2 linked regions of the Lonchura striata genome follow. The protein of the gene in region 2 purifies or fractionates together with the protein of the main gene of each other region. This does not show direct contact. Links are inferred from orthologs where the notes say so. Each region holds a gene or a part of one and is shown on either strand. Other genes may lie near its edges.

Region 1 (15,224 bases), on a different chromosome or scaffold from region 2:
ATTTGCTTCCAAAACAAAGGCAGCAAGGAGACACCGGGAATAATACCAGCTGCAAAATTCAGCTCCTCGATGGGACTGAGCCATATCCAATCTGTTTTCAGACACCTTGCAGGTACCTGCCATACAGTGTCTACCTGTTACATACACTCTCTGGGATATTAGAGATGCTAAGTGAGAACTGAAAAGATAAACTGAGCAGTGAAGCTTGTGTTCAGGCAGGCCACCTGCAAATGGGGCTTTTCACCTTGCCAGGGACTCCCCTCCATCGGCAGGCTGCCAGAGCCCAGACTCCCAGCTCACGTCTCCCTGTGTCCTGCAGCACCTAGGACATATCCCCATCTCAGCGGCAGCCCCCTGTGGAGTGAAGCAGGTCAGCAGGGAAAGGTGAGCCCTCGCAGCCCCCCAGCACTGCCTTTGAGATCCCTGACCCATATCCTGGGGAGGGGAGCATCCAGGCTTGGCCCCACCAGAGCAGGAGACATGCCCTTCCTCCTGATTGCTGTCAGATAAAGCCGGGATACTCTATTTACGGGACCAGCCTCTCCACACCACGATCAGGCCACTCAGGGGGAAGGACCTACAGCACACAGCTACAAATCGCGGCAGGGCAGCATCGAGCACTCCCTGAAGCCCATCTGGAGGAGTGGATGACGCAGGCACAGGGCTCTTATAGGAGGCTCTGCCCTCCCAGAGGCTCCCACAGGTGCTCAGAACCAATGGCTGAGTCAACCCCGATTTGTGGGGTTTCCCCCAGCTGCTGTGCACCCCCCCAGGGCCCCACTCACCCTTTGGGGCTCCTCCGGGAGGGAGTCCGGCTGCCGTGCACCTGCCTCTGCATCCCCCGTGCCCTCCTCCACCTGCCCCGCCGGAGACTCCTCCTCCGGACACCCTCCCAGCCCTGCCCGCTGCTGGCCGCGGGCCCTGCCGCTGCCCCAGTTACCCTCGCTGCTCCCGGCTCCCACCAGCACCCCACTTTTCCCAGCAGCGTCCCACTCTCCCCGCTGGCCCTTGTGTCCCGGCACCCCGCTTACCTTTACCAGCACCCCCTCGCTGTGCCCGGCTCGCCCTGCCAGCGCCCTCGCTGCGCCCCGGGCCCCGCGGGAGCTGGAGCAGCAGGTCGGGCTTTGTCTCCCGCAGAAAAGCTACCCAACTTACCTTTCCAGTCCGCCGCGCTCGGCACCCACGCCCGGAAAGCAAACACGGATGGAAAGCGGCTGTGCGGCCCGACACCGCTGTCCCCCGCCCAGCACACGGGCCGAGGGCAGGAGCTCTGCCTGGGCGGCAGAGGCAGCTTTCCCAGCAATTGGGAATTAATCTCTACCTGGAGGAGAGCAGTGCTAAAAGGCAGGCAGCTGGTGGCATCTTGTGCCTGTTGTTTGAGCAGGCCTTCCCCTTGGTTTATTGTGCAGCAGAGAGGAGCAAAGTCGAAGGACCAATTGCTCGGGCTCTAATTTATCAAACATGGAAAGGCAGCAAGGTAAGTCTGTCCGGGCTCCGAGCATCAAATCAGAGATGCTTCCATGACCTTTCCTCACCCCCTGCCCTATGCAGACCAGGTGGCACATACACAGCCAGGAAATGAAGGTACTTAACTTGTGCCTGGCTTTTAGGTAGTAACACTCAGCTCTCTGGGGCACAGCAGTGGTATGCCCCTCTATCACCACAGTGGAAGATGCAATTTCTATCCAATTTGCTGATTCATGCATGTTCTCTTCAAGCTGCTGGAGCTGTGGACACAGTAAGAGCTTCAGTTTTGTGTCAGGAGAGAATCCCTCCTAGCAAACCAAGATTGACAATAACTAATTCCACATGGCTCTCTCAGCCTTCCTAGACAAAAAAAAAAAAAAAAAAAAAAAAAAAAAAAAAAAAAAAAAGGGAAGTGGAAAAGAGGAAAAATTTATAGCTCTGACAGATGTGAATCTTTGATTCTTGGAAGCACAGTTTAGAAAATTATTTTTAGATGCAGTTTCTTGTCAAGGGCAGCTGGAAGCCTGCAGTGTTTGAATGTATTTTTTAAAAAGAGTTTCATTTCTCATAATCCCTTTAAATGCTGTAAATAACTCTTATTTCAGAGAAAAGAGTCCTTTCGAAATCCATTTTCTGCTTTTCTACTTCTAGGGGATTTTTTAACAACAGAATGACCTGGCAGCTGGATCACCATGATGGGGCAGGCACAGGCTCTGTGCTGATTCTGCTGTACCAACTGGTCTTAGCACAACTCTACTGTGCCCAGAATCCAAGACCTGGCCTCTGTCTGTGCTGTCAAGTTCATAAGTGACAAAAGTGTATAACAGCTCACTTGAAAATTTACTACTTGTTGTTGTTTATTACAAGAGGTAAAAACAAATGTGCTTTCCAGGCAAAAGTTTGGCTATTAATCTTTGCATCAGCTCATACAACATAATCTGACACATTTTGTAGGTGACTTGTCAGAAACAACCCTGTGTAACCCCTCAAACCATCTGTCCTCACATCTCCTGACAGATGTTCATTGATCAGCCAATGGATGCTGTTTCTCTGATGTGTTGGTACCACGTAATCCATTGGCAGAGATTATTTTCTTACCACTAATTTGGGTTCCTGTCTTCCACCCTGACATCAGCTTTCATGAAATTTGCAAAGTGTCATGATCTGCCTTTCTTTAAAATCAGAGTGAAAGTAGAAAATTAATTCAGACTACATCCAGAAAGGAACGGACATAAGGACAAAAGCAGCCATCTAAGACTCATTTCCTAAAAAAAGGCAAGAAAATGTTTCCCATTATGCAACTGTTGATTTTTTACCAAGGCTTGTATTTCAATTGAAGTGATTCTCATAGAGCAAAAAAGAAAACAGGTAAAATTTGATTTGACAATGTTTCTTTTATTCCCTCTGCACTGGGTGTTCCCCCTTTGCGGTATGGCACAGCTACAGACCTTGGCATCTGCTGCTCCTCAGGACACATGAGCAGAGCTGAGCCCTTTCCCAAATAAATGACCCACCCAACATGATAAAAGTAGCACTTCTCTCCTATGTTGAGACAATTGCTCTCGTCTCGCCACTGTCTATATGGACTTGCAAACCTGTCCCAGTAATAAAACCCACAAATGTTCTACACAGTAGAGAAAAATTCATGAAATTCCTTAGGACATCCAAAACCACCACAAAGACATTCCATCGTTTTCATTTCTAGTCCTTTTAAATAGGTGGTGATGAGTCACGGACTCAAGATCATTTCCTTGAATCCAGATGGCACAACTTCACCACACTTGGCAGCTCCGGATCACTTCTCGTAGAGCCTGTATTCCTTCCATGGTTTTGTCCTTTAAAGCCATGGCGAGGAGAACAGGTTTGTTCCCAGCTTCCTGCGACACGAACGCCACCAGGTTTTTGGCACAAACATGAACGAGGGGCTGAAAAGCAAAGGGATACAGATGTACACTCCTACAATGGGAGAGCCCTCCTGCAGGAGAGGAAGCGTCCCTGAGTGACGTGGAGAAACTCTTGATTCTGGACTCAGACTGAGCTCGATGCTTGTTGGCCAGTTCCAACATGGTCAGCAAAGGCAAGCCATGGGACAGGGAACTTCAGAAAGCATTTTCTCAACCAGATTAAAAGGGAAGAGTTTGGTCCCATGAATGTGCCAGCCACCCACACCACCCGGAAACAACTTCAGTGGAGCTGCACTTGAATTGAGTTCAGCACTGTCTGGGAAACTTGGAAACTCCGTACGGAGAATCTTTCCTTCCATAATCCTCCCACCTGAACTGTGGCACCAGTGTTAAATTATATGAAATGCTATGGATCCAAATGCCTTTATTTCCTTCACAGCCAGGTTTCTAAAGAAGTTTGCAAGTACATTTTTTTTTGTTTAAAATCTTGTTCTGAAAAGGGGATGTTCCATTGACAAGCTCTGGAAAAAAGCTGTTATTTTTGTAATTCCTAGAGATCCCCAAATGGTGTTAAATACACAGTTTTTGTATGTCTGGTGTTACAGACATGTTGCCTTTTATTTTAATAGAATAATGAAGAGCAGAAATAAGTAGTGAGGCTGAAGGAGGCAAAAAAAGGGATATAACCTTTTCCATGAGGTTTCTTTAACAAGAATACATCAGAACAGCATTGACTATGTCACATGGAAGGCACATACAATGACATCTAGCCCAGCTGCCTGACCAACTCAGAGCTGACCAGGTTAAAACATTATTCAGGGGATTGTCCAAATGGCTCTCAAACACTGACAGGCTTAGAGCATCAAGCACCTCAAGCCTGTTCCAGTGTCTGACCACACTCGTGGTGAAGAGGTGTTTTCTCATGTCCAGTCTCAACCTCACCCAGCACAGCTTCGAACCACCCAGCTTGTCTAGGGTTTATTTACACCCATAGTTGTGTATCTGTTGGAAGGATGAGTTTGCTTGATTTCAGCTGCTGTTTGGAAGTGTGCAGCGTCCCAAAGAAGGATGTTAGCAGTGACAAGCAGGAAAGCAGCAAACTAGTGAAAGTCTTTTCTTGAAATTTAGATCAGTTAGTTAAAATTTTTTAAAAATAGAATGGAACAAAGTAAACATAGCACTTCCCATTTCCAAGTAAAACACAAAATAAGCTTGGGGGTGGAGGTGGTCAGAATTTGCATATATCAAAGCAGAGAAAGCAAAATATCTCCCAAAAAGGGAAGGCTATTGCTCAAGAGAAAGAACTCCACAAGGAAAAGTCATGGATAAAATCAGGAACTTGTGTTGTTATAGCTTTTCTAGTTAAATCTAGCAAGTAATATGCAATAGCTTCAACCTTGATGGAAAGCCTCATAATCTTGTAGCTCTGTAACTCTGTTTTAATGTTTGACCAGTTGATGCTTTGCGAAACACATTTGCATCTGCTTTCTCTCTAGCTTTGTGAAGTGGTCGATAAAAACCTCATTTTGTTGAAGCAAAACAAATTTAACTTTATCAAGGGAAGGTGCTGGGCACACTTGGGAGTGGGCAACTAAAGCCCATTATGGGGCTGGCATAGACAGGGGAGGATGGGGGTGGGAAAACAGACCTGAAAAGGAAAACAAACTCACTGGAACAGAAACCCAAAAAGGTTATCAATGGCTGCATATTTAATCTTGCAACCCTTAAATCAACACAGTTTTATCAAACTTTCCATAAACACGCAGAAGCAATCCATATCCTGTAGGATACAAAACAACAGATCGCCAAACCACTCATGGTTAGTTACACTTTTATGTCCACAGAGCAGACGAGCGCACATACTTTTCTGATGAGCCCCTCTTTCCTCATTTTAAAATTAATCTTATCACTGTTCAAACACTGCTTAACTGCTGTGATTCATCAACTCCCTGGCAACTTGCACAGCCCCACCCACTACATTTCCCCCTTATCCTTGCTGCCCCAGCGCTCCGCATCCGCTCTCACCTCACCTCATCCTTGCCCAGCAGCACCTTCGTGGTGAGCGTGGGCCTGCCCACGTTGTCGCCGACGATGTTGGGGTCCACGTAGACGATGGTGCCCATCTTGCCGTACTGTGTGACCACCACGAGGACGGAGTTGGAGAAGGCCGTGCACACCACCTCCGTGGGCACCCCGTGCACCACCTCCTCCCGCTGCTTGGACGTCACGATGGGACCCGCTTCCATCGCTTCCGAAAGGAACAACACGGCGACAGTACGACAGCATTACATGAAAAACATGCGCGACGCGCTACAAAAAGACCGAATCCTTCCCATAGTTTGAAATACCCACGCTGAGGTTAATTTCAGTACAAACCCGCAGCCCTGACTGGGGGGGACCTCGCAGCGCCGCAGCGATGGCATCACTGCCCCGCACGGCCCCGCTGCCTGGCAGGGGCCCCGCTAACGCGGGCAGCTGGCACCGAGGGGGAAACCTCGAGCCCTGCTTTCCACCCGGCTCCACCAGGCTTCTCCTGAGGGAGACATGGAGACAGGGAGACAGCCACCCCCATCCCGCCGGGCCGCGGCCCTCACCGCCCCTACCCTTGCCAGCCCCGCCGCGCCGCCGCTCTCCGCCCAGGCCCGCCCCGCCGTGGCGGAAGCGGCGCTTTTCTTTTCCTTTCCTTTCCCTTCCCATCCCTCCCTCTCTCCCTCCCGCAGCCGGCGGGGGGCGATGGCGCAGGGCAGCCCTCACGGCCTGTTCCCTCCCCTTCCCTCCGCGCCGCCGCCATTACCCGCTGTGCGCGCGGAAGGCGCCATGTCCGCCCCGCCGCGCGCTCCTCACGGCCCCTCGCCGGCCGCGGGCAGGGCTGCCGCTCCCGGGCGCTTCTCCGGGGTGAACCCGGCCTCCCGGGGTGAACCCCTTCTCCTGGAATGAACCCCTTATCCGGGGCTGAACCCCTTTCTCCGGGGATGAACCCCACCTCCGGGAATAAACCCACTGTCCGGGGATGAATCCCCTGTCCGGGGATGAACCCCTTATCCGGGGATGAACCCCTTCTCTGGGGATGAACCTCTTCTCCGGGGATGAACCTCTTCTCCGGGGATAAACGCTTTCTCCAGGGATGAACCCCTTCTCCGGGGATGAACCCCCTGTCCGGGGATGAACCTCTTCTCCAGGGATGAACCCCATCTCCGGGGATGAGCTCCTTCTCCGTGAATGAACCTCTTCTCCCAGGGATGAACCCCTTCTCTGGGGATGAACCCCATCTCCGGGAATGAACCCCTTCTCTGGGGATGAACCCCTTCTCCAGGAATGAACCCTCCGGGAATGAACTCCCTTCTCTGGGGATGAACCCCTTCTCTGGGAATGAGCCCCTTTCTCTGGGGATGAACCCCTTCTCTGGGGATGAACTCCCTTCTCCAGGAATGAACCCCCTTCTCCGGGGGTGAACCCCTTTCCCCAGTTTAGCCTCCACGCCCACTTTCTCCCTGTTTCACACCAGGAGCTGCGGAGGAGTCACAGGGCAGGACCCCCCTGTGCCATGAGGGGTGGCGTGTGAGGGGAGCGGTGACCCTGCAGTCCTAGAAGGGCTGTGGATATTGTTTTTCCCTCATTTCCCCATGGGATACGGTCCCTCCCAGTACTGGGTTTTGTTAGGCCGCACTATAAGATCCAGTGTATGCTTTCCCATCTTAATAAAAGTGGCTTATAAAGGGGGCTTGTGTAAAGGAGGCAATTTTTTACATACAGAAAGAGATAGGACAAGATAAATGCTTTTAAACATGAAAGGAATAAATGAATATTGGCTGTTAGGACTTAGATTTCCCTATGAAGGTGCTGTCCTTGCACAGGTTGCCCAGAGCAGCTGTGGTTGCCCCATCCCTGGAAGTGTGCAAGGCCAGGATGGACAGGGCTTGGAGCAACCTGGGATAGTGGAAGGTGTCACCCACGACAGGGTGAAACAAGATGATCTTTAAGGTCCTTTCCAACCCAAACCATTCTGTGATTCTATGAAAACAAGGTTGGTTTTGGTCATGGAAGTGGCCTTGCCATTAGCTGAGCGAGCATTGGAGCTGTACTCGGGGATAAAATAAAGGCATCTGTGTGAGGAGGGTGAAACCAAATGTGTCAGTCTCAAGTGCAAACATTAATTTCTATTAATTATACCAAATCAATACAGTACTATTTTTTCCCTTTGAAATACTGGCACTCACGAATAAAGATTTTGTATTCTAATTTATACAAAGCCCTGAAAATTGGCATTTCCCAGAAGTTTGCAACCTCCCAGACTCCTGCAATTGCTGCATCTAAAATACAGTCAAAACCTTCATTCCCATGTTTTAGCTCTCCTTTACCAGCATCCTCACCACATCCCAAATATCTTGGTCATGTGTACAGCAATAGCTATCTGACCTGTGGGTTATCTGTTCAGGTCACATCTCCAAAGGACCATGAATACATCTTTTATTTGTTTTGCATTAAAAGTTTTACTAAAATTTGATTACAGGAGGAAAACACAGACTTTGTGCTGAGAATCCTTTAAGGCACCGTTAGAGAGCAGCAGAGGTCCATGGAAAAGCTTTTAATTCAGCAGGTTATTTTTGTGGTTAATTCAAACTCGGAGACTCAATACCTTTTCGGTACTCTTTGCAGCCTGGCAAATAGTCTGTTTTCCAGCACTGAATAAACAGCATTCCTCTTTCTTGCTTACCACAATCACTCGAGGCTTTGCCTGTTTGACAGAGATAATAGCAGCTATTGTCAGTAAAACCTCCTGACTCATAAAGAAGTTTATTCCTGCTCTGCCTTCTCCAGAGAGTAACTTTACTTCAGGAAACAAAGGACTGGATTCTTCCTGCCTTCCTTGGTAGACTTCATTTTAATTTTTACATGACAGGGGAACAAAGGGAGTCCACTGTAGTTCAGATTTACATGGAAACACCATTGTTTGCTGTTTGCATTAGTTTGGGCCAAAAAAAAAAAAAAAAAAAAAAAAAAAAAAAAAAAAAAAAAAAAAAAAGTTGTCTTTCACAGTTTCAGTCAATCGGATGTCTCATTTTGGCATTTAGCTGGGGTGGGATATAGCAAGTGAAGCAACTAAGCACTGAATCCTCATCACTGAGAGTGAATCCATTAAAAATGAGCTTAGGAGAAAACTCCTGTTTGTGTGACTGAGGCAGGGGATGGGGATTTGAGAATACACACCAGGACAGGTAATGGGACCTTTCCTGAGGGGATCTGTCTGCCTGTCATCTGCTTCCCAGCATTTCTGGCTGAGAAGGGTCTGTACCCATACTCACACTCCTGCTTGCTATAACACTTTATCTCCATAGATCCCTGATCACATTGCAAACATTATTACATTTAGCTTCATAAACTGTCTTTCATCATAACAGATTGTTAATATAACCCATTTTATGGTTTGAGGGAAATAAAGAATCGAGACCAACAGCAGTTTCAGAACCATCAAATCTTCAGCTGGAGATTTCACAGGATTTCAAGATCCCTTCTTCCATTCCCATGCACTCGCTGCCAAAGAAACATAAGTCATACATGTCACTGTCTCAATTATAAGATAAAATCAATGACTGTGCAGCCCCATACTTTGACAAGAGAAACTACTCCTAATATTGCAGTTTAATACCTTTATTATTATTTATTCAAGCAGTTTTATACTGCTTTTCTTTTTAAACTGCTTAAGTGCCTCTGTGTGTGTAGACTGGAAAGAGGCTGCTTTTATATTAGTCTTTGCATTATTCTGAACTGATTTTATAAGAATATATGTGTAAGATCCACAGAGCATTAGAAATATTTCCCACTACTATTGATCATAGACACACAGTGTTTCAGGACACCCATTAATAATCCCTGCTCTGGGGAGCATCTCACTGTCAAAGTGCTGGGTTGGTTTATTAGTTTACAGGTTATTGCTTCTCTAGTTTAGATTTCTCTCTTGTATCTTTTATGATGCAGAATATAGACTGTGAGCTGGAACCTTGGGTGCAGCTGGACTCTGGGCTGCGCAGCCGAGGAGAGAGGAAAGGAATTAGCTTGCTCCCTGATGCAGGAGCTGCTTGGGAATTATTCTGATCTCTATTATAAATCAGGTACATGAAGAGGAGCTGCCTGTGAGTACATTCTTTGGGCCAGACAATATCAGAACTCTCCTCTTCCCCTTATTACTGTCACAGGGAGGTCAGGGGTGTGGGTGGTGCAGGGTTGTGTGAGGGCTCTCTCTATGGGGCCATTGTAAAAGGAGTAGAAGAACAGCAGAAATTCACCTCCTGGATTTCTCCTTTTAAGCCATCCCCACTGCATTTAATTAGTCTGGAAGAGACCGTGTTCAGAAAATAATAGTGAATCAATGCTCTGGGGGAGGCAGGGAGCAGAGCACACCTGGGGATGTTTAGTTGGGTCTCCCTGGCTAGCTGGCTGCAGTCAGCAGAGAGAGGCTTTGGCAGAATGGAAACACAGCTTTGAACCTGACTGTCCACAGTCAGGAGTCACCCCTGCTTCACCTGAAGTTGGTTGGTTTATCTCTGGGTTTCTGGAGGTCCTCCTGAGAGAGGTATGAGCCTGCCAAACACGACTACATCTCAGCTGCTTGTGCACATGAGCAGAAATGGGACATCAGGTGTGCAGGGCAGCCTGAGGCTGGAGTGTGAGCCACTGAGGAGTTCAGGTGTGTCCAGGATTAGGTGGTAGCTGAACAGCATCTCAGAGTTGAAGCTGAGGCTCTCAGTTTATGTGCTCATATTTTGAAGGAAGATGAGGCGATTCTGGCTCTTTTGTGTGTTGGTCCCTTTTCTGTGCTCCCTAGGATAACAAGATTATTAGTTTTCATTCTGAGACAATTCTAAGAGGTTTGCTTTGTTCTGAAGCTGTCCCCATGGCTCTTATTGTATGGAACATCTCTTATTTCATTGATTGTGTGAGAGGAAGGCTCAGCCAATCCATCAGGCATTGCAGAACCACTCCAGCCTATTTTGTTGTTGATGAAACATTTTTTTTTCTCAGTGTAGAATTCAGCCAGCTAAAAACCACAGTCTTAGAAGAAAAAACAAACACAGCACTTAAACACAAATTGTTCCCTTTCTGAGTGAGTTGCACTCAGCAGCACATCTGAAATAGAAGTGCTGGATTGCTTACATGCCTGAGACTGTCAGGTCATGCTATTGTTTTGGTTTCTTGTACTTGCAGCTTAGTAAGGAAGCAATAGGGGAATGTTCATTAATGTTTGTGTCAATAGTAACAGCCCACATATGAGCACTAGCAGATTTTCCTGAGAAAGCTCAATGCACAGGGTAGGATTTAAAAACATGGCAGTAAGCCAGCATGCCCTGGCTGGGCCTGGAAACATCTAGGTAGCAATTTGACTGGTGCTCTGTGGAAGTTTTTTTTAGTCAGATTTAGCAACCTATAAATAGAGGAGTACTCCAGCCCTTGTAGGACTTTTTTTTATGCTGTGTCATTGGTGTTTTCTGAGCTGCTCTGCAGGCTGGGGGAGAAGGATTACAGATCCATGGGGCTGAGTGGAGAAAGGAGAAACCTTGGTGCTGAGAGAGAATTTTGGGAAGGGGCTCCTGCTAAGATTGCAGAGCCTGGAAAGAGTGAAGCAAGTCACACCTGCAGAAGGACTTTGCTGAAAACAGTTTTTGGGGTGCTTGATCTCAAACAGCAGTGTTTTTCATATATTCAGTACCCTTAAAACTAGCACACCTTAGATTTCTTTGCAAAAATTCCTCAATAAATTATTTCAACAGCCACTGAAATGAAATTACTTTCTAGAAACGTGTGAGATAGACCTCCAGAAACACTCCAGACTACCTAAGAGAGCTAAAAGAGCTCCAGCTACCTAAAAGAGTCAGGATTACATCATGCAGCCAACCTGGTGCTGTCTGATGATAATTTTACCCTTGATATTTATCATGAGATAACAGCTGGCTGTTCTGGGCACTGTAGGCAGGGGGTATGGAACAGACAGAGTCATCATGAGGCAAGATTGAGTTTGAGTACTGTTTACATAATTTTCATTTGTCAAATAACAGCTCCTCATAGATCACAACCATGACAGCGCCTGTGGATGGTATCATCCATCAGCAGATCTACTCTGTGAGCAGCAGAAGCTTTGTATTGCTGCAATGGCCAGAGGAATTATTTCCATGCATCAGTAAAGACAGCAGTAATTGCCTTAAAGCTCACTATAGTTTATGTAGGAGATTTTCAGGTGCTTGTGGTGATCTGTCAGATGGAAGACAACATGCAAATGGAGTGGATTGTAAAAATTACTGTGGCATAGCTTCTAAGAGTAAAACTCATACCCCTCTGTTCCTGAGAAGTGTGAAAGCAAAGAAAATAACTGCATGGCCCTTGCAGAAGTAACAAGAATGCCAGAGTATTAGTATGATGCTAATAGTTAAAATTATATATCTTGATGAGACAAATGCCTTCTGTGCTGCTAGTAATAAATTAGCTCCTCTTTCAAGTGAGGAAACAATTAAAAACTTGGTTGAAAAGGGCATACTTTCTCTGTGGCCACTGATCCCTCAAACTCTGGAAATAATAAAGTGGTTCTAATAGTTGTTCATTGTTACACAGTTGAAAGAAGAAAAATCCATTGCCTCATTATTTTCAAGACAGTTATCAAATTACATTGGGAATATTTGAAAATGTAAGAGGCATCTAACCAAATGGTTTCAACTTTGACAATGTGTCATCATTTGCAGTTCATAATGCTGCTGTTAACTTTTGGAGATATCAGTCAGTGCACACAGTGGAAAATGAGAATAAATATTTACCTTGCATTTATATACTACATAAATAACAGCAAAGTACACAGTAGACAAGTCATGATTCCATTTGGAGGGTTGTGTAACAAAAGCCTCGGAATTACAGGAGTATTCATTTTGCAACACTCAAATATGTGGAAGCATTCAGGCAGTTCTCAACAAAATGGGCAACAATGCCTTGCCAATGAAACAATAACAAAATTATTAATGAATTAATTCTGAATATCAGGTGAAGATTGGCCTCATCTGATCTTTAAATTCTTTATAGGTGTCAGAGGTATTGAAGATGGTGGAAATGCCTGGTGTCTGTCTCTTTCATTAAACATTACATTTTTTTGCCATCTAGTCAAAATTATCATCCTGTCTGGTGGTTAAATTTAGCACAAAAACTGAAGCCACAGTGAAGAATCCAAGTCAGCCTTGCATAAAGACATTCCATGGCAAGGCAGGAGAGTGCGGGCAGGTGTCTTTTAGTGGGCTGTAGAGACTCTCAGATTTCTGTCTTCACCTGCCTATACTAAGCAGACTCACTGAAAAGAGTGAGATTTTAGGAATTTGGGAGCTCCATTGAAGGACCTATCTGTAATAGAAGATTGGAAATAAATTTATTAAGATTATTGTGATTTGAAAGATTTTGTGAGGCATCATGTGCATGTACTGCAGGAATTTGTTTTTAGAAGGGTTTATAATCCTGGTTATCTCCATTTCAGAAAACTTGTGGAGTTTACTACATCTCCTCCTGTGTCTAGAGAGTAATCAAATAAATATTTCCTCTTGGAAGCAGATTTAATATTTTGAAGCCCTGCAAAATATTGAGTTGGTTAAAGTTGAAGTTCAAAGTTAATTTTAACTGGCCATATAAATTCTTTTATGAATCGACATAAAAAGAAACAAATACTGAAGTTGTTTGTTAGTGCCATTCTAAGTAATGAACTGAAGTTTGTGATAATTTAATTGTGCTTTTGATGGACTGTACAAATGTACTCTTAGAAGAAAATATAATTATATACTGGAGAAAATAGCATTAAAATGGAGCATTGTCCCTTATTTCATAGGTGGTTATCTCCTATTTCTGCACAAGAAACATGATAATTAAGAAAGGCAGATATGCTATCAACTTTTTAAGTTTCATCCTGGAAATGAGGTTGGAATATTCCATGAGGAAATCAATGTTATTTTCCTACTCTCTTCTGTCTCAGTAAAAAATACTCTGCCTAAATCCTTCTTTGCTCTGCATTTGCAATTATTCTCTCTATCTTTAGGTGACTCTAGGCTGAGCTCATGTTTTTGTTCTCAGCTTCATGTGAGCCTCCTTTTCTAACCCTTCCAAGAGCATTTTGGAGCTAGTTTGCCCTGAAACCCTGAGATCTGAGAACACCGGAGGATTAGGTTTAAACTTGTTAAACTGAATTAACACTCCTGCCACACGATTCTGGCCTGTGCCAGTCCTTCTAATCTTGTTCAGAGTTTAGGATAATTTGTTTAGTAGGGCTGATCAGCTGGAGGTTAATTCAATTGGACTTTGGCTATTTATTCATGCCCGGATTTGCTAAGTGTCACAGCAGATACATGAGGTCTCTGTTACAGTTATGAGATGGCTTCATTAGTGTGACTGAGAGTCCATCTGGGTAACTTCCTTTCCTCAGTGCAATAACTGGCTGTCAGGGTTCTCTCCAGTAGAAAAAAACTCCTTATGTAACATCTCCCTTTCGTTTGTGTCACAACTCTATTGATTAGAACTTAAAAGGCACCTCTCTGTTCTGATTGCTGGAATTGCTGATAAACTTTCTCAGAGATGTCAGTAGTATTCCAATTCTATATTTTGAACTGATTTTAAATTTAAAAGAATTTGAAAGAAAGCGTCGAAGTGTTTTAAAAGCCATTTATTATAAATTATGTGTTTTCATGCAGGATTTTGGTTCTTCTCACTTCAAGGTCCACTTTCCTCCTGATAGAGGTGCTGCCAGTGCTGGATTGGAAGGTGGTCAGTCATTTGCACAGTCCAGAATTAACTACCTAGAAATGGAAAACAAAAAGGAAGAAGAAAATTCCATCCTCCTGAAACCTCTGGAGGAATTTAGGTTGGCAGAATGTTGTTACTTAAGCTGGAATGTGGCCAGGACACCAGGATTAATGTTAGCACAAAATGCCATTTGATTGCAAGTGTTCGGATAACCTTGGATAAAAGTCTTAACTGAAAAGAGGCTCTTCTAACTGAAAAGGACTCCCTGATGTTGGCTGGGACTTTGCTTCAGGGTTGACTCAGGGAATTTTTGCTTTTTGTTTCAGCAGTTTTTGAATGGGACATCTCTTGAATGGTAACAGATCTCCCCTACTCAGGCTGCAGCACAGCAGATTATTTCCCAGAGAGAATTCCATGCCATAGTCTGATGTCTCTTTTTAGAGATGTTTCCTGATATATCATGCAAACAGGAAAAATAAGAGCATGACAACACTTGCCAGGGGAAGGTCCTAAAGATTAGAAGGCAGGACAAATGTTCAGTGTTGAGAAGGCACTGGGACAAACTGAGCTTCTGCAGCCACATAAATGCAGAGTAGCTATTTATGTCATGGAGTTGCTCCTGAGCAAATGAGACCATCATTTACCCCATTCTTATTTTATTCTACTCTCTGGTTGTTTCTACTGTCAGTCCTATAATACATGTTATGGCTTGGGCTGGCAAAACCAGGTAGTTTCCAGCTAAAGCTTTGGTGATTAAGAGCAGTGTTAATCAAAATTTCTTCTCTTTCTTTTCTTTTTGTTTTTTTTTCAATTACATTGTAAATCTATGATGAGGAACAACCATTAGCTTCTAGGGACTGAGAAGTGTTCCCACATGCTTGGCCATCTTCAGAAAACCCTGTCACAGTTACAGACCATGAAATATGTTTTCCAACAGAACAATGTTCACCAAACCAGCTGGGACCAGCAATACAACTCAGCATTCTTTGCAGAAGTTTATTTGCTGTTGACTTGGAAGTTACATTAGAGCTTTGGAGAGGAGTTTCTGCCTTTCTGCACAGCAATGTAACATGGATCACACAGCATCAGCTCCCAGAG
Region 2 (14,987 bases):
CCAGCAGCCGCCCGGCCCGCAGAGGTCTCACGTAGGAACACACCGGCCGGTTCACCCCATTCTCATCCTGAACGGGACAAACCTGGTTATCTGCCGGCCGCGCTAGTGTCGCAAAATGTTCATCTTAGCTTAGACTTTTTTCTTCTGGGATGTATCCTCCCTGGAATAAGTATCACTCAGAAACAGTAAGACACGAAATCACCCCCTGAATCAGGAGACAAAACCATTAAGATCACTCATTTAGAGACATCACAGAGTTCAGTCTGGCTCTGTCACTCACAGGGCATTCTGGACTAAATACCTGAACACCGGGAACAGCACAGGCTGCAATTAATTTTCTCAAATGAGTGAGCAACTGTTTATGCTCTACCTACTATCAATTTCCACATTATCATCAAGTATTAAAACAAGCCAGAACAAATCTCACACACCAAATTCCACAACGATCCCAAAAAACCCTCCCCAAAACCCATTAAACATTCAGTAACTGATTCTAGAGTTTAAAAGGTGTCTATTTGCTTCTAAATTTGAATACCTCTTTTTATAACAGCAAACAATAAAAATTACTCAAAATGAAGTAACTACATCTATTAAGCAACTAGATCTAGTAACTGGATCTAAACTAAGCAATAATACTATGAATTTCTAAGTTCTTGTAAAAGTGAAAAAATAAGATTACTTTTAAAAATCTGTTTTCATACATGCTGCAGGCAAATACTATGATTATCATCTATTAAAATTATTTCAAGGAACATAGAGGTCTTCTGTTCCTCACTGGGCTAAATTGGTACTTTTATGCTCATACATGTTTTAAAAGGGATCAAAAGCCTTTTGAATCTCTGCAGCTTCAGGAGATTATGGTCTCATATTTTTACTGTAGGCACATATTGTCCTTGTTAAGGTTTTGTCATGCTTTTCCAGCAAGCTGGCAGAAAAAAAGCAGCATTTATTTGAGGCTGACTGGAATCCTGTTGAAAACTATTTCACAGTTCAAAAGCAATTTTTAAAAACCCACAGGCAGGATTTATTTTAAAATTTTGTCTCATACATATATAATGCCAGTTTCTGCATTACTCATCTGAAACTTGATGGTAACTAAATTATCAAACTAATCTAATAAACTAATTTCTGTTCCCAGAAAGTTTTACTAAGATTTGCTATGGCCAATGGGAAACTCAAGATAAGCTCTATATAGGTACTAATCTAGCAGGGGTCAAGTTTCTATCCTATTTAATTATAGACTTGTTTCTCTTTATACCCTGCCCTGAAACCCTTAAGCCTTTCCATTGGGTCTATTTGGAAGGGAGTTTGTTTATTTTCACAGCAGCCCTCACAGTGCTGTGTTTTAGATTTGTGACCAAAACAATGCTGTGAATACACCAGTTTTTTAGCTGCTGCTGAGCAGGGCTTGTGTAGGATCATTCTGCCACCACACAGGTGTAGGTTCAGTGTTGACAAAAAGCTAGAAGAGGACACAGCCAGGACAGCTGACCTGATCTGACCAAAGAGATATTCTATGCCATATAGTGTTATGCTCACAATAAAAACAGTGAGGGTGGGGAACATACTTTTTCGAAACTTGCCCCTGCTTGGAGATTATTGGGACGTCTGTCTGCTCCGGGAGGAGGGGAATGCCTGTCTTTGCATCACTGCTTTCCCTTCCTTCCTTCCTTGCTTTCTGTTATTTAACCACCTTTATGCCAACCCATGAACTTTTCCTTGCTTTTGCAGTTTTTATTCTTGCCCCCATCCTGCTGACGAGGAGTGTAAGACTGATGGAGTGGGGGCTCATCTGCTGCCTGGGATTTGAAGTTCCCATCACTCCGGCGCACTCAGGGCACAGCCAGAAGGGACGCTGTTGCCTCACCAAAGAGGAGGCACAGATCGCTTCAGGACTCTGCTTTGGGATAAGAAGTTACTGTGGTAGGAAAATTGCTACTATGTAAAGTAAATTCATAGCGTGAAAAATGCAAGGATCATACCATTCCTTTTACTGAAAAACAGTAACTGAGGAGTAACTGATAAAGTAATTTATCAGACTCAAGTAATTTTGACTGTAGTTGTTGTGTGACATAAACTAGAGAGATTGCATTGCAGATGAGACAGAGTACAAATATTTTGAGGATCTGTTCTAATACAGGAAGTCAATTTTTTGTAACTGTTTTATCTGGTACAAAACTTATCTGAAATAGTTTGTACAGACCACCTAAGTCTCTGCCATCTGTGAGTACTCAAGGACAAGACTGAGCAGGCTTTTTCACTTGGTACCTCAGAGGTAGTCAGAGCAATCTTCCGGTCTGCATCGTTCTCTTAAGCTTCAATAGATAAACAGAAGTTCAGTCCTTACAAATTTAATTTTTTTGCACAATACACCACATTTAGCCCTGACCTGAACATAATCAGATCATAATCTACACAGATTCCACATACACATAAAGTTCAAAATAAAATAAAAAGATAACTTAAAGAAAGGATTGGTCTATTTGTAAAATTTACGAACCTGTGCAAAGATCTTTACCAGCCTTGCATTGTGGGTAGGCCTGATCTGCAGGTATTCTCTCCACCACTGCTTAGCATACACAAGAAATAAACGTTCTTTTTCTGCTGTTTTCTGACGTTCCAAAGTGAACTGTAAGTAGGAAAAACAAAATCAGTCCTACACATACTAATTCCAAACAGGAGAAAAAAACCCATGAATGATGCCTTAAGTTTTAGCTTTTATATTTTCCAGATTCTGTACTGTATTAATATATAATGCTGAACTTCATATAAAGTGTTAGCAAGTTCTCTTCACAGTTCAGTTGGACAAAACAATCCTTTTCCAGCCCAAGAGCCAAGGTCATTGTTGCAGCTTCAGGCCCAAAAAATATAAACAACAGCGAATTGAGGAAAGCAATCCGAGAAGATGGAACTTCATAATGTGAAGCTGTAATTGGACAACTGACCCCAGTATGTTCTCACACAAAAGTGTGAGAACTCGTGGCCTGGTGTCCATCCTGGGTGTAGCCATGGCTGGGTTCTTCTATTGCCCAAGGTGTAACCTTTGAAGGCCTTTTAATAAATACCTACTTTATTCCTTTAACACTGTCTAGCCTTTGTTCTAGGCAGCCTCTCAAGGCATCATAACCAGTAAATACATTAACACCACATCCTGGCATGTGTAAAATAAAGCTTAACATTTTAAGTGTGCCATGTGAATAAAATGGAAATCCAATTAAGAAAAACTTCAAGCTGTATTTCTTGTTTGTAGGTTCATATATCAGGCTTGACCAAAGTACTGTTCATTTTAAGTAATGCTTTTCTGCATAGAAGGACTGCTTGGATTTTAATGTGCAGAAAAATATCTGCATGCACCTTCAGGCCAACATTTACTGGCTTTCCAAGCAGAATAGCTAACTTGAATTTACTGTTGCATATGGGAAAGAGCAAGAAAACATATATACTACTTGAAGAAAATGAGATATATTGCATCCTTCTTTTTTCTTCAGAAGATTTGATACATGTAATTAGAAAAACCTATGACAGCAATATTTTGAGTACTGTTCAGTATAGACAAAATACTTTAAAAAGGTAATTCTATTTAAATTTAATAGAAAAAGGAAGCATCATTAAACATTCAAAAACCCCAAGTCCTCAACATTTACAATTCTATACTGAGCTTCCCCCACCACCGATAAAAGAGTAAGTTAGCCCTCCCCAAAATTACTTACTTGAGTACTAGTTATTTCTGAAGAAAGTGTCTTACTAAGTTGTGGATACATTTCCAGTCTGATGCTTAAAACACCAACAGAAACCTTTGATTCTGTACCTTTGAAACAAAATTAATTTTCATCAGTTCTCTCATATTCATTTTGCTTAGATTATTTCAGCCAGGCAAGGGCAAACCATTAAAATATGTATGTTAGCCTTAAATAATCACAAAAAGTAACTAAACTTCATTCAACATAGGCTAAGTAGGAATTTTAATTGAAATTTCAAACTCAAATGAGGCTACAAGAAAGCATAATATACAAAAGCACAGGTGTCTACTTCCAATAAAATGTTCCACAGCCCTATTTGCAGCCAGTACTGGGACATATGAGATGAATCCTACAATGTTATTCTAGAAATGTCTGGAATAGGCATCTAAAATCGAGCCAGAGAATCACACACTGTAAATGTGCCTATTTCTACTGATTACGCAAGTAGATTAAATTTAAATAGGTAGAAATAAGTGAAGCTCATTTTCCTCCAGGATACAGTTCTTATGAAGGACTCTGGCTGACATACAAAGAAATTTATCAACTTAGAAAAAACTCCCCAAAACAACAAACAAATGAACAACAACCCCCCTGGACTTAATATTGTTGCCTAATGCTGAAAATTTTAAATTACATAAACAACAATGAGCTTTACAAAACAGATCACAGATGGGTTCATAAGCAATACAAGCAATGGAAACCTCACATAATAGTTTATCTGTTTATCTGAGATGGCAGCATCCTTTGATGTTCTTGATGCATTTTGTACAATAACAGGATTTTGAAGAGGAGAAAAAGCACTTGATTTATTGGATTGATACTTTATTACTTGGAATAAAGCTAATGAGAATTAAATTTAACTTGCTCCATAACCCATTCAAGAATTAAACCCTACTTATTTGTTATGCATTTCCAAGTCATTACAGAATATTAAAATCAGAATGGCCTGGTTGGATGGAATCTTAGAAACCACCTATTTCCAATCCCCCTGCCACCTTCCACAAAATCATGTTGGTCAGAGGTCCATCCAACCTGACCTTGAACACTTCTCAGGATGTGGCATCCACAGCTTCTCTGGGAAACTTGTTCCAGGAAAAATTTCTTCTTAAAATCTAATCTAAATTTACTCTGATCTTGTCCTCTCATTACCTGCTCTTGTAAAAAGTCTTGTAGGAAGTAATGAGAGACCTAGTCTTCATTCACTAAATCATATCCTAAATCTTGGGTTGGAAGTCCTGAGAAGAGGACTGGGGACAAGTGACACACAAAAATACACACGCGTACTAACTGCTAAGCACCTAAACCAAGCCGTTCAGAACCACACTTCCAGCTACTGGGATAAATGGGAGCAGAGCAGAGATCCTTTTTTCCAGACATTGTTAATTTGCTATGAAAGGCACACAAGCTGGATTTTACTCCCCAGTGCACTGACCAGATATATTCCTGGAGATGAACTGGATTTTTGGTTGGTTAGTTTGATTCTGATAACTTAACCAGATTTTGCAGGTAATCCATAGTGGGAATTCCCAGGCATGAGAACCATTTTTATATGGGATCTGGAATACTCATTTTTAGCAGCTTGATAACAGAAAAATCTGACCATTAAGTCTTCTAGGGATTTTCTAAGGATAATTTACAGTTACTTCTGAATTGAAGAAAAAAAATTAACTAGATCAAAAATACTGCTTTAAGCTTGTAAGCGAGCTCACTACTCAATATTTTAAGTCATTACAACATGCTTATTTTTCATCCTTACCTACACCCAGGAGTTCCACAGCAACACTTGCTATGCCATTCTCTGCAGCCAAGACAGACCTCCACTCCAAGAAATAGGATGCTACCAGTGTGGTCTCACCAAATGTGTCTGTTTTGATCAGAACCATATGTACTGGGTCACATATAGATAACATAGTGGTTGCATCCACCATCTTGCTTCCATCACCTGCCATTATTAAACCAAAATAAAACAACAAGAATATTATCATCCCAAGTTCTCCTCAGAATTTTAAAACAGTATGCAACAAAATGCAATGTCTGTAATAAGTATAAAGAAAGACCTTGAGTCCAGAAGTGTAAACAATGATCCTATCTCTAACACCATACTCACTTTAGGACAGAGCTACAGAGAGATTACAGAGAAGATAAAATTATTTTGCAGTTGAGTACTGCAATGCAACTAGTTCAGATACACAAAAAATATAAATGGAATTAACATTTAAGAATTTATAAAGCTGGTCAATTTCAAGTTATTTTAGAGTGAAAAAGAAGGAAAAGAGCAAGAGCAGAGAAAGATCTACAAGGGGTATAACCCAATACAGTAATCAGTTTTCTCAGGAAAACATGACAAAAACCAGGAAAAAAATTCACTAAATAATACCAAACATATTTCACAATAACTCTCAGGTCAGAAGAAATCCCAACAGCATCAGCTTTAAACCCACAATATTCCTTACCTAGGGTATCCTTGTGTATTTCAAGTAGAAAACCATCCTGAAAATCTGGCTCACAGGCACAGGGTACAGGTTTGGAACGGAAGCGCTGGTTTCGAAAATGTAAACACAGAGTGAAGGTAGAACAGATCTGGCCAGGCAGAGGCTCTGGTTCCTGAAGATGTTCCAGAAAAGCTTTTCCACCCAAAACCTGAAGGTAAAGATACCTCCGTGTTGGGTCAATGTTAGCTGCAAAGCGTAGCAATAAAAATGAAGAGACTACAAACAGATCTTAGAAAGCTTAATTTGTTAAATATCAGGTAACTAACAGGACACTAGCAAAAAATTAAACTTCTTTGAAACATGCTTAGAAGAAAGTGATTTTAAAATATACCTTTGTGTAAAGTAAATGAATTAATAATAAATAATATTTAATGCAACACTGATTGCTGCTGCTTACATGAGTTTACTCCCTGTGGATAAGCAGAGGAAACATCCACCTTTATTCCAGTTCATACTGGATTACTAATTCAGAGTGCCAAAATCAGAGACTTCAAATTTGCTTTAAAACCATGATCTAAACATTTAAATAAACAAGAAACATACTTTTTTTCAAAACTGGTGGTTCTCTGTCAACAAAATGTGTTGATGGTTTTGGAGCCAAAGTCCTCTCCGTTTCATTCACATCCTGGAATTACAATTAAGACTTTTTAAGGACTCAAGGGATGCAACAGTGCTCTTACCACAGTCTTCTAAAAATTAAAGGATCTTCCATTTCGTCTGAATGCCATTCCTTAGGTATACTCCCTTCTAAAACTGAACAAATATTTTCAGTGCAGTATTATCACCAAACCGATTTCAGCATGTGCATTAATCTTCTCTGCTCCTATAATGTCTCAAATCAGTAAGGTCCTTACAAAACTCCAGAAGCAGCGGTTTCACTTTGTCGAAAAACCACGGCAGTAAGAGGAATAAGCAGAAATATTTCCCTTCTTAAAAAGCTACTTACAGTTACAAATTTAAGTTCCTTCATAACATCATCAATGATTCCCCGCTGTCTTAGGGCTCTTATCAGATCTTCTGTGGACAACTGCTGCTGCTCAGGCGCCAGCTCTTCTCGTACAGTCTCAGCAAGAACTTCTCGTATCCTCCCATGGACATCCATCTGAAAGAAAATTCATTATGTGCTACAAACACCAGCCCTCTGTATGGCAGCAGGTACAACTTACCAATTAAGTCTGTAAGGCTAATGGTGTTTTCCTAAGAACACAGAAATAACGATATCAAAATACTGATCCTTGCACAACTAATCAAATGAGCCACTATCTTACAAAAGCAACTCTCCCAGTAAAAAAAAATTACAAGCATACAAAACCTTGGCATTTTCACTGCTCTTTGACAGCAACTCATCTGGAACGTCCCCCCTTACAAAAAGGTCTGGAAATACATAAATTACAAAATGGTCACTGTTCCATTTTCTTGTCTCCCTCAAAATTCAACCTTAATATAATACTTCCTTATTTTTTAAGGGGAAAAAATATTCATTATATAGGTTGGGCACAAAAGCAGTAGATCTCCTTTGCAAGCTTTCCCTATACTCAAAGGGATGTCTGAGAATGCCCATCATCTGAGCTGTGAAAGCAGATGGATTTATAGAGCTGACTCTCACACTGGAAGGCTGCGAAGGACACAGTCACCAGGACCTGAAACGGAATCACAGAACGACCTTGTTGGAAAACACCTTCAAGATCATCTAATTCCAAAACCCTGGCCATGGGCAGGAACACCTTCCACTAGATCCGGTCACTCAGAACCCCACCCAGCCTGGCCTGAAACACTTCCAGGGATGGGACATCCACAACCTGCTCCAGTCCCTCAACACCCATCACAGTGAAAAACTCTTCCTAATATGTCTTTCAATTTGAATCCATCTCCCCTTGTCCTGTCACTACACGCTGTGGTAAAAAGTCTGTCTCCTTTCTTGCTGGCTCCCCTCAGAAGGCTGCTATGAAGTTCCCACCGAGCCTTCTCCTCTCCGGCTGCACAATCCCAGCTCTCTCAGCCTTCCTCAAGCAGAGGCGCTGCCCCCCTCTAATCATCTTGCTGGCCTCCTCTGGACTCACTCCAAGATCCCCGTTCTCCTGTGACGGGCAGGAATATTCACCACTGCACTAACAAGCGCTATAGGAGTTACAGCCTCCTTACTTATTCCCCGGCCAGTTCAAGACCCTCGCTCAAAAAGCAACAGGAAAGCGACCAAGCGGCGCCTGGAAACCACCTGCAGCGACCCAACTGGGAAAACAAAGCGGGGCGCCGGAGCGGGCGCCGCCGCCACCCGCGGCCGGGTGACACCGGCACGGAGGCCAGCACAGCTCCCTGAGGGCCGGGGAAGTCTCTCCGGCGCCGGGCCCACCTTGAGCAGCTGCTGGTGGATGATCTGCTTCAGCTCCGAGGCTTTCTCCGGCGGCAGCGACATGGCGGCACCGCCACCGAGCGAGCCCAACCGCCCCGCAGCCAGCGCGGGCAGCGCCGCCGCCGCCCCCTGGCGGCGGCACGCGGGTGCGGCGTCCGCGCCCTGCTTCCTTCCTCCCTCCCTGCTTCCTTCCTCCCTCCCTCCTTCCCTCCCTCCTTCCTTCCTTCCTTCCCTCACTGCCTGCTTTCTCCTCCCTTCCCGGCCGGCATGTTCATTCCGTGCGGCCGCGGCGGGGGCTCCGCCGCCCCCGACTTTAAAGGGTTCACTCTGCTGATGGTGAGTCACGCTCCTGCTTCGCCTTTCGCCGCCCTCGCCCTCGGTGCGTTTGAGGGCTCGCTGCCCGCGGTCCCTGTGCCGAGGGCTCCGCTCCGCTCCTGTGGGACGGGACATGTCCCACGGGGTTCTGGTGTCGGTCCCTGCCCTGCCCGAGGCTCGTCCCTGGGCGCTTGGCCGCGGGATAAGCGGAGAAAGCTCAGGGCAGGCGGTGTGTGTGGAATCTGTGGGGTGTTCTGGGAAAAGAGGGTTTGGAGGGCTCTGTCTGCGGCAGAGCTTAGCGCGGTCTTCTCCTTTTCTGCCGGCTTCTCCCTCCTCAGAACCCCGGGTTTGCCCCTGTCAAGACGATCCGTGCCGAGCTGCAAAAGCTATATTTTAATTTAGAGCAATAACTATATGCTATTTCGGAGCTATAGCTATACGCTGTTGCTCTAAAAATTAACGCGCCCTATGTGCTTTTACTGGATTTGCAGCACCCGTGGGTTGTCACTGCAATAAAAGCTTGGGATTTTTTTTTTTTTTTTAATTTAGATGTGATATATAAATGCTTCAAATGTTTTTTTTAAAAAGCCATTCTGCTACATTTAAATCTCGGACTAGGATTGTTTTCGGAAGTGTTTTTATCGCGCGTGACACCGGTGCCGGGTGACGTGCCCGAGGCGACGCTGCCGGGCGGGAGCTGCAGGCTGCGGAGGGACGAACGCCGTCTGGTCTGGCCTCGCTGCGCTGGCTGCAGGAGCGCCGCCGCCCAGGCGGCTCCACTGCCGGCACGGCTGCCGGGGAGTCATTCCCGCTCCGCTGGCGAGCGCCAGGAAGCGCATCCCTGCCGAGCTGCGCGCCTGCGGCGGGCGGGCAGCTGGGTGCCAGCCAGGCGGGGGCACGGCAGTGCTGCCGCGGCCCCCTTCATCTTCTGTCCGCCTCAAATCCGCTGTCTTTCCCCAACAGGCAGCAGCAGCAGTAATTCTTAGATGTGATTATAAATTAGAGGAAAGCAACCGAGCGGTTTATGGTAGTCTTCCCGTAATAGTTTCTTTGGAAGGACACTGACTCTTTACTTTCTCTTTCCGTGTCGTCATATTAGGTCAGTATCTGCCCCGATCGATGATAACCCGTAGCAATTCTTATGAAATTAATTTAAGGGCACCCTTATAATTTTCATCCTTAAAAAATATGTAAAATTACATACTCTTGTCTATGAGTCAGTCTGAGATTTAGAGGCTTAACATGTAATACCAGAGCTGCCTTTGGGCATCATGTGAGCCAGTCTCACATCAGTCACTTGAGTGACTTTTACCTACTCTCAATCCAAAAATGTGGGGAAGGAGGTAAGTTTCCAAGCTGTTCTTTCAGTTTACAATTAGACAGGATTATTCACAGAACTGGCCAGGATGTTTTTTGTCGGACAGAGACCAAATCCTGTATTTACCAATTCTTCTGGTAGGAAATAGTCACCTTTGCCAGAGGATGAGCAGCCACTTTCAGAAATGATGTTTGACCAGATTTTAAGGTTTCACTATTTGAAGAGCACATTATGCCATCCATGAAGTATGCTGTAATTCGGTTCGTTCTGTTACTTCAGCCAGCCGTGTCCGTGGGGAATGTCGGTCAGTTGGCAATAGATCTGGTGATTTCCACGCTTGACATGACTAAAGTTGGTTACTTCTATACCGATTGCCTGGTGCCAATGGTTGGAAATAACCCATATGCAACAGCAGAGGAAAACTCAATGGAGCTGAGTATAAATGCTGAAGGTGGGTATAGAATACTGCAAGCGTTTGCAAGGGACATAAGATGCAAGAACATCACATTTTCTTTTTCGTTGTTGTTAAATTTTGCTGATGTGCTTAAATTAAGGGCAGTAATAACAGCTGCAGAAACCTACAGATAGGAATGTATTCATATTTCACAAATGAAACTGTTCCTGTTGTTATTTTGGAAAACCAATTTGACATTTAGAATGTTTGAGCCATATTGTAGTGCAACCAGAACTCTCTGTGGTATTAATCCAAAGCAATATGAAGTGTGCACATACTTAAAATAAATTATTGGAATACAAGTTGAATTTCTCATTTAGAAAGATACTTATCCACTCTTCTTCTTTCCTACATACCTCTGCCTTTTTCCCTGTGTAATGTTTCTCCCACTCCCCCTACAAATTCTTAATTTCTTTCCCTACATTCATCATTGTATCTCCTTTTTTTTTACCCTCTTAAATCACAGAAATCTCAGAATAATATGGCAATCTTTGCAAAGATGCATACATAATCTGAATCATTACAGAAGGCAAATCCTCATATATGTTTCATAATTCAGTCCTTAAATTAGTACAACTGAAAGTACAATGCACAGAAATATGTGGTTTTAACACAGTGGATGTTGTCAGGCTTTCCCGTATGAATTGATAACTGAAAGGTTTACTTTACTATCCTGAAGTTTGTAAGTGGGGTAATTCTTGATATATTTAAACCCAGATTCTCAGTTTCTGCTTAATATGACAATGATTTCTTCTTGTAGTGTACTCCTTACCTTCAAAGAAACTTGTAGTTCTGCAGATCAGATCACCTTTTATAAAGGTATGTATGTTCATCGATCATTTTTACTTCACTGTTTGGTTTGAATAGTTCTGCTGGCAAAAATATTTTTCTACTTCAGGCTGTAACACCTTCTGCAGTTGGTAAAGTTTTACTGATTTCTGCATTTGCTGAGGCATTTTGCATCATCAGTTTGGGCATTTTGTTTTTCCAAGCCCCACAACAGCTGCCTGTGTTGGTAGATTTTAGTGCTAATATCTCCTTAGTTATTAAGAGTCATGAAAATACAAAATGGTCTGGGTTTTGTTTGTTTATTTTTTCCTTTGCATTTATATTTTTTCTGTATTCTTTGTAATAGCTTTATTCTTTTTTGTGTTATGCCAATTTAATTATTTCATATTATTCTATATTCATTTAAACAATGTTCATTTGGTAAAAATGAGGAATTTAGTATTACTCATTAATTGGGCAGTGGCTGTAATTTAAAATAAGCAGAATGCCACCACAGAAAAGAAAATTGTAGTGCAGTATTTTAGCAGTTCAAAGTGTGGAAAAATACTGTGTGATCCTGCCATCCCATCCTGCTCTAAATCTTTTTCCTTTGGTATTAACGGCACACAAAACAGGTAGTACTGTTGTTCTTGACATGGTCTTAGAGATAATTCTTGTAATTCTATTTGTAGTTTTGCTTAAGTAAACAACCAGGGCAGTTCTCTGCTTTCTAATATATCTGGGGCTGAAAACTAAGTGGATATGAAGAATAATTTACGTCACTGCTAAATACTATATGTAACACCTAGTATTGTTAAGGACACATTAAATTTTTCACTTTTTTGTCTGTGTCTTTGCATGAAGAACAAGTACAGGCCATTCTGTGAAACTCTGCTTTCTTGGGTGAAGAGCAGCAAATTTGCCAGGGTTGTCCTCCTGTCCAGCAGCCACGCATACCAGCGTGATGATGAGCAACTTTTGGGGTATGTTTGTCTCCTTAAAAGATCTAATTGATGTTTCTGGGTTTTTTTGACTGATATATTTCCCTCTACTTCCATGTCCTGAGTACTTTTGGCAGGTGCTTTTACTTGCATGTGTGCATTGGTCATAAAATGCTTAGTATACTGTTAAAACATGACGTATTACAGTACAAGTCACTGAATTTTCTAGGTTACTACTGTCAGAAGTACTGATCAAATGAAAAGCTGTAAGCAAATTGCACTCAGCCTGCATTGCCTCAGTTTCAACTTCTGTGGCCGCAGGCAATATCAGGGCTTAACTGCTGACATACAGGTCACAAGTTAGGTTTTTAATAGTTGATGGCAATATTAGTTTGTTTCTGACCTCTTTGTTATCATTCTGCATTTGAAAGGTTTTCTTCAATACAGTAAGTTGTCATTCCTGGGTTTTGGGTGTTTTTTTATAGGAAGTTATTTGTTGGGAGGCAACTGCAAGGCTGCAATTGCAGTCTTTTTTTAATAGATACTACCCATCCAAAAACCAGGCCTTTCCTGATGATTGAGGGCATCCTATTTGGTGATTTAATGAGAAATAAATAAAATCAGTACTTCTAGAAATAAGACCAGCATTTCTGCAGTTGTTATCCTCAGGCTCTATAAGTGTGTAGGGCCTCAAGGGAGATTTAGATCTATGCATGTCCCAGATATAGCGGTAGATCCATACAATTGCAGGATGGCCAGCTAACATGGAATGAAATGAGAGGGACTGATGGTTATTTGATGAGGTCTAATTCATAAGTTGTGATTTAAACCCTCTCAGCTCCTTCAGCACCACAGAACAAATCCCTTAGAGCAGATTTACTAAAGAGTGAGAGTAGTGCATCCAGAAAATACTTTTAACTTGACTAAAGTCTGAATCTATTAATAATGTGAGCTTACTAAAAATACTGTATCATGATTAAGTCCAAGTTTACCTTAACAGATTTTGAATTAATCACCTCTTATCTGAAGGAAGAAAAAACACATTTTATTAGTAAATTATTTTAACAACCATAAGCAGTTTCCCTATTTAGGTGCTTAAGTATTTGGCACTTGCCAGTTATTTGAGCCCCTGAAAGGGTACCTAAATTTTGTTTGTGGCATAAAGTTGAATAGTTTGTACAGTTTTGAGGCCACAGACTTACTTTCTAACTTCGATCTGAAGAGGGAGACAATGTCAGACCATTTCTTCCCTGCAGGTGTGAGGTCCTCAGTGCTGGCACCTTCTGTCTGCCAGAAGTGCTAACTGGGGCAGTGTCCTTCCTTGGCAGACTGAATGCATCCTTGACTTGTTTCTAGGACACCACTGCGCTACCTGCTCACACCTGATCTGGAGAAAGCAGTTGGAGGCCGCATGAAGGAGCTAAATTGGAAAGAAATGGAAAAAGTAGCAGCTTATCCTGGAATAAATAATACAGACAAAGTTCTGCATATACCTGGAGGTGGAATCACAAAACTATTGTTTACTGAGAGGTGAGTGGCCTAAAGATAAGCACAGAAAGGTCTCAGAAGTCTTGTTTTTAGTACTTGGGTGAAATTATCTTATAAACTGCTATGTTATAGGGAGAGCAAAGTCCTTCTGTTTATAGAACAGGGCTTTACAGGAATAGAATTTCATTCAGGTCAGGCCCATAATTAAGAGGAAGAGAAGTAGAGTCCTGGATCATAAAGTTAGAGTAAGATAAAAATATAAGGGAATAGGCTAAAGGAAAATAATAAAGTCTTTACAGTTATGATCACAATCAATCTGATATCTGATATTATCCAAATGACAATTTATAAATTGTAGTAAATTTCTGTACCTTTGCTGTTTCCTGAGGCAAATGGTTCCAACATCAGTTATATAAAAAAACTCAAAAATCCACAAACAATTCTGAGCTCTATGAATGAGTTAAGATTTCAGGGCCAGCCAAAAAATGAGATGTGGAGGTTTTGTTAAAAGCTGTGTGCATCAGAAGTTGTGCTGAAAGCTGAGTTAATTTTAGAAACTAATACTTACTTATAGCACAATTGTGTGTTTCCACAAAAGATGTGTGTTCAGTGGAAAATTGACTTTTATTTTTTAATTATTAGTTTTGACACTTGACCACACTGTTGTATTCAACAGCAACAAAGTTACTAATACCATGCTTACATTTAGACTGACTTCAGAATGGAAATGATACACAATTGCAAATGAAAAAAACCTGCCAGGACTTGAGGTAAAAAAATTAAAAATAACCATCTTAATATCTAAATTAAAAAATAAGAATATTCCAAGTGAAGTAGTCATATGCAGCCTGCAAAACTGCTGGTTTCAAATACACAGAAAGATAAGGAGATATTGTATTAAAGGATGTGTACAGGCACCTCACCAGCACAAAAATGCAAACTTAAGTATGTAAAAGGCCTGAATACTTTTGCAAGATGTAGGATTTGTGCCTTGCAAAGTAAAGAACAAATTCAAGACTAAGCAAAAAGCCTGAAGTGTGAAAATGTGATCTAGGAAATCTGGAGGAAAAAGAATATATATGTATACATACATTTTTCCTTTTTGGTTTTGGCTTTTCACA

The links.
Region 1: the proteins of PSMG2 (region 2) and PSMG3 purify together in Homo sapiens (affinity purification with mass spectrometry; 4 studies listed by BioGRID and IntAct, counting the BioPlex papers as one, with this or other methods). This does not show direct contact. The link is inferred for Lonchura striata from reciprocal best matches to the Homo sapiens genes PSMG2 and PSMG3.

The regions. Positions count from the first base shown.
Region 1 is NC_134618.1:12,908,363-12,923,586, forward strand, and holds PSMG3 (proteasome assembly chaperone 3), read right to left. Parts: upstream 6,039-15,224; 5' UTR 5,975-6,038; intron 5,682-5,974; exon of another isoform or gene 5,620-5,681; 5' UTR 5,618-5,619; coding exon 5,402-5,617; coding exon of another isoform or gene 5,397-5,401; intron 3,393-5,396; coding exon 3,240-3,392; 3' UTR 2,842-3,239; downstream 1-2,841. UniProt on the Homo sapiens protein: Chaperone protein which promotes assembly of the 20S proteasome. May cooperate with PSMG1-PSMG2 heterodimers to orchestrate the correct assembly of proteasomes.
Region 2 is NC_134603.1:53,158,389-53,173,375, forward strand, and holds the start of PSMG2 (proteasome assembly chaperone 2), read left to right. Parts: upstream 1-8,794; 5' UTR 8,795-8,849; coding exon 8,850-8,918; intron 8,919-10,494; coding exon 10,495-10,666; intron 10,667-11,429; coding exon 11,430-11,488; intron 11,489-12,301; coding exon 12,302-12,420; intron 12,421-13,734; coding exon 13,735-13,908; intron 13,909-14,987. Other genes in the region: CEP76 (centrosomal protein of 76 kDa), read right to left, coding at 1-67, 2,501-2,629, 3,711-3,808, 5,497-5,682, 6,194-6,418, 6,776-6,857, 7,179-7,334, 8,583-8,645. UniProt on the Homo sapiens protein: Chaperone protein which promotes assembly of the 20S proteasome as part of a heterodimer with PSMG1.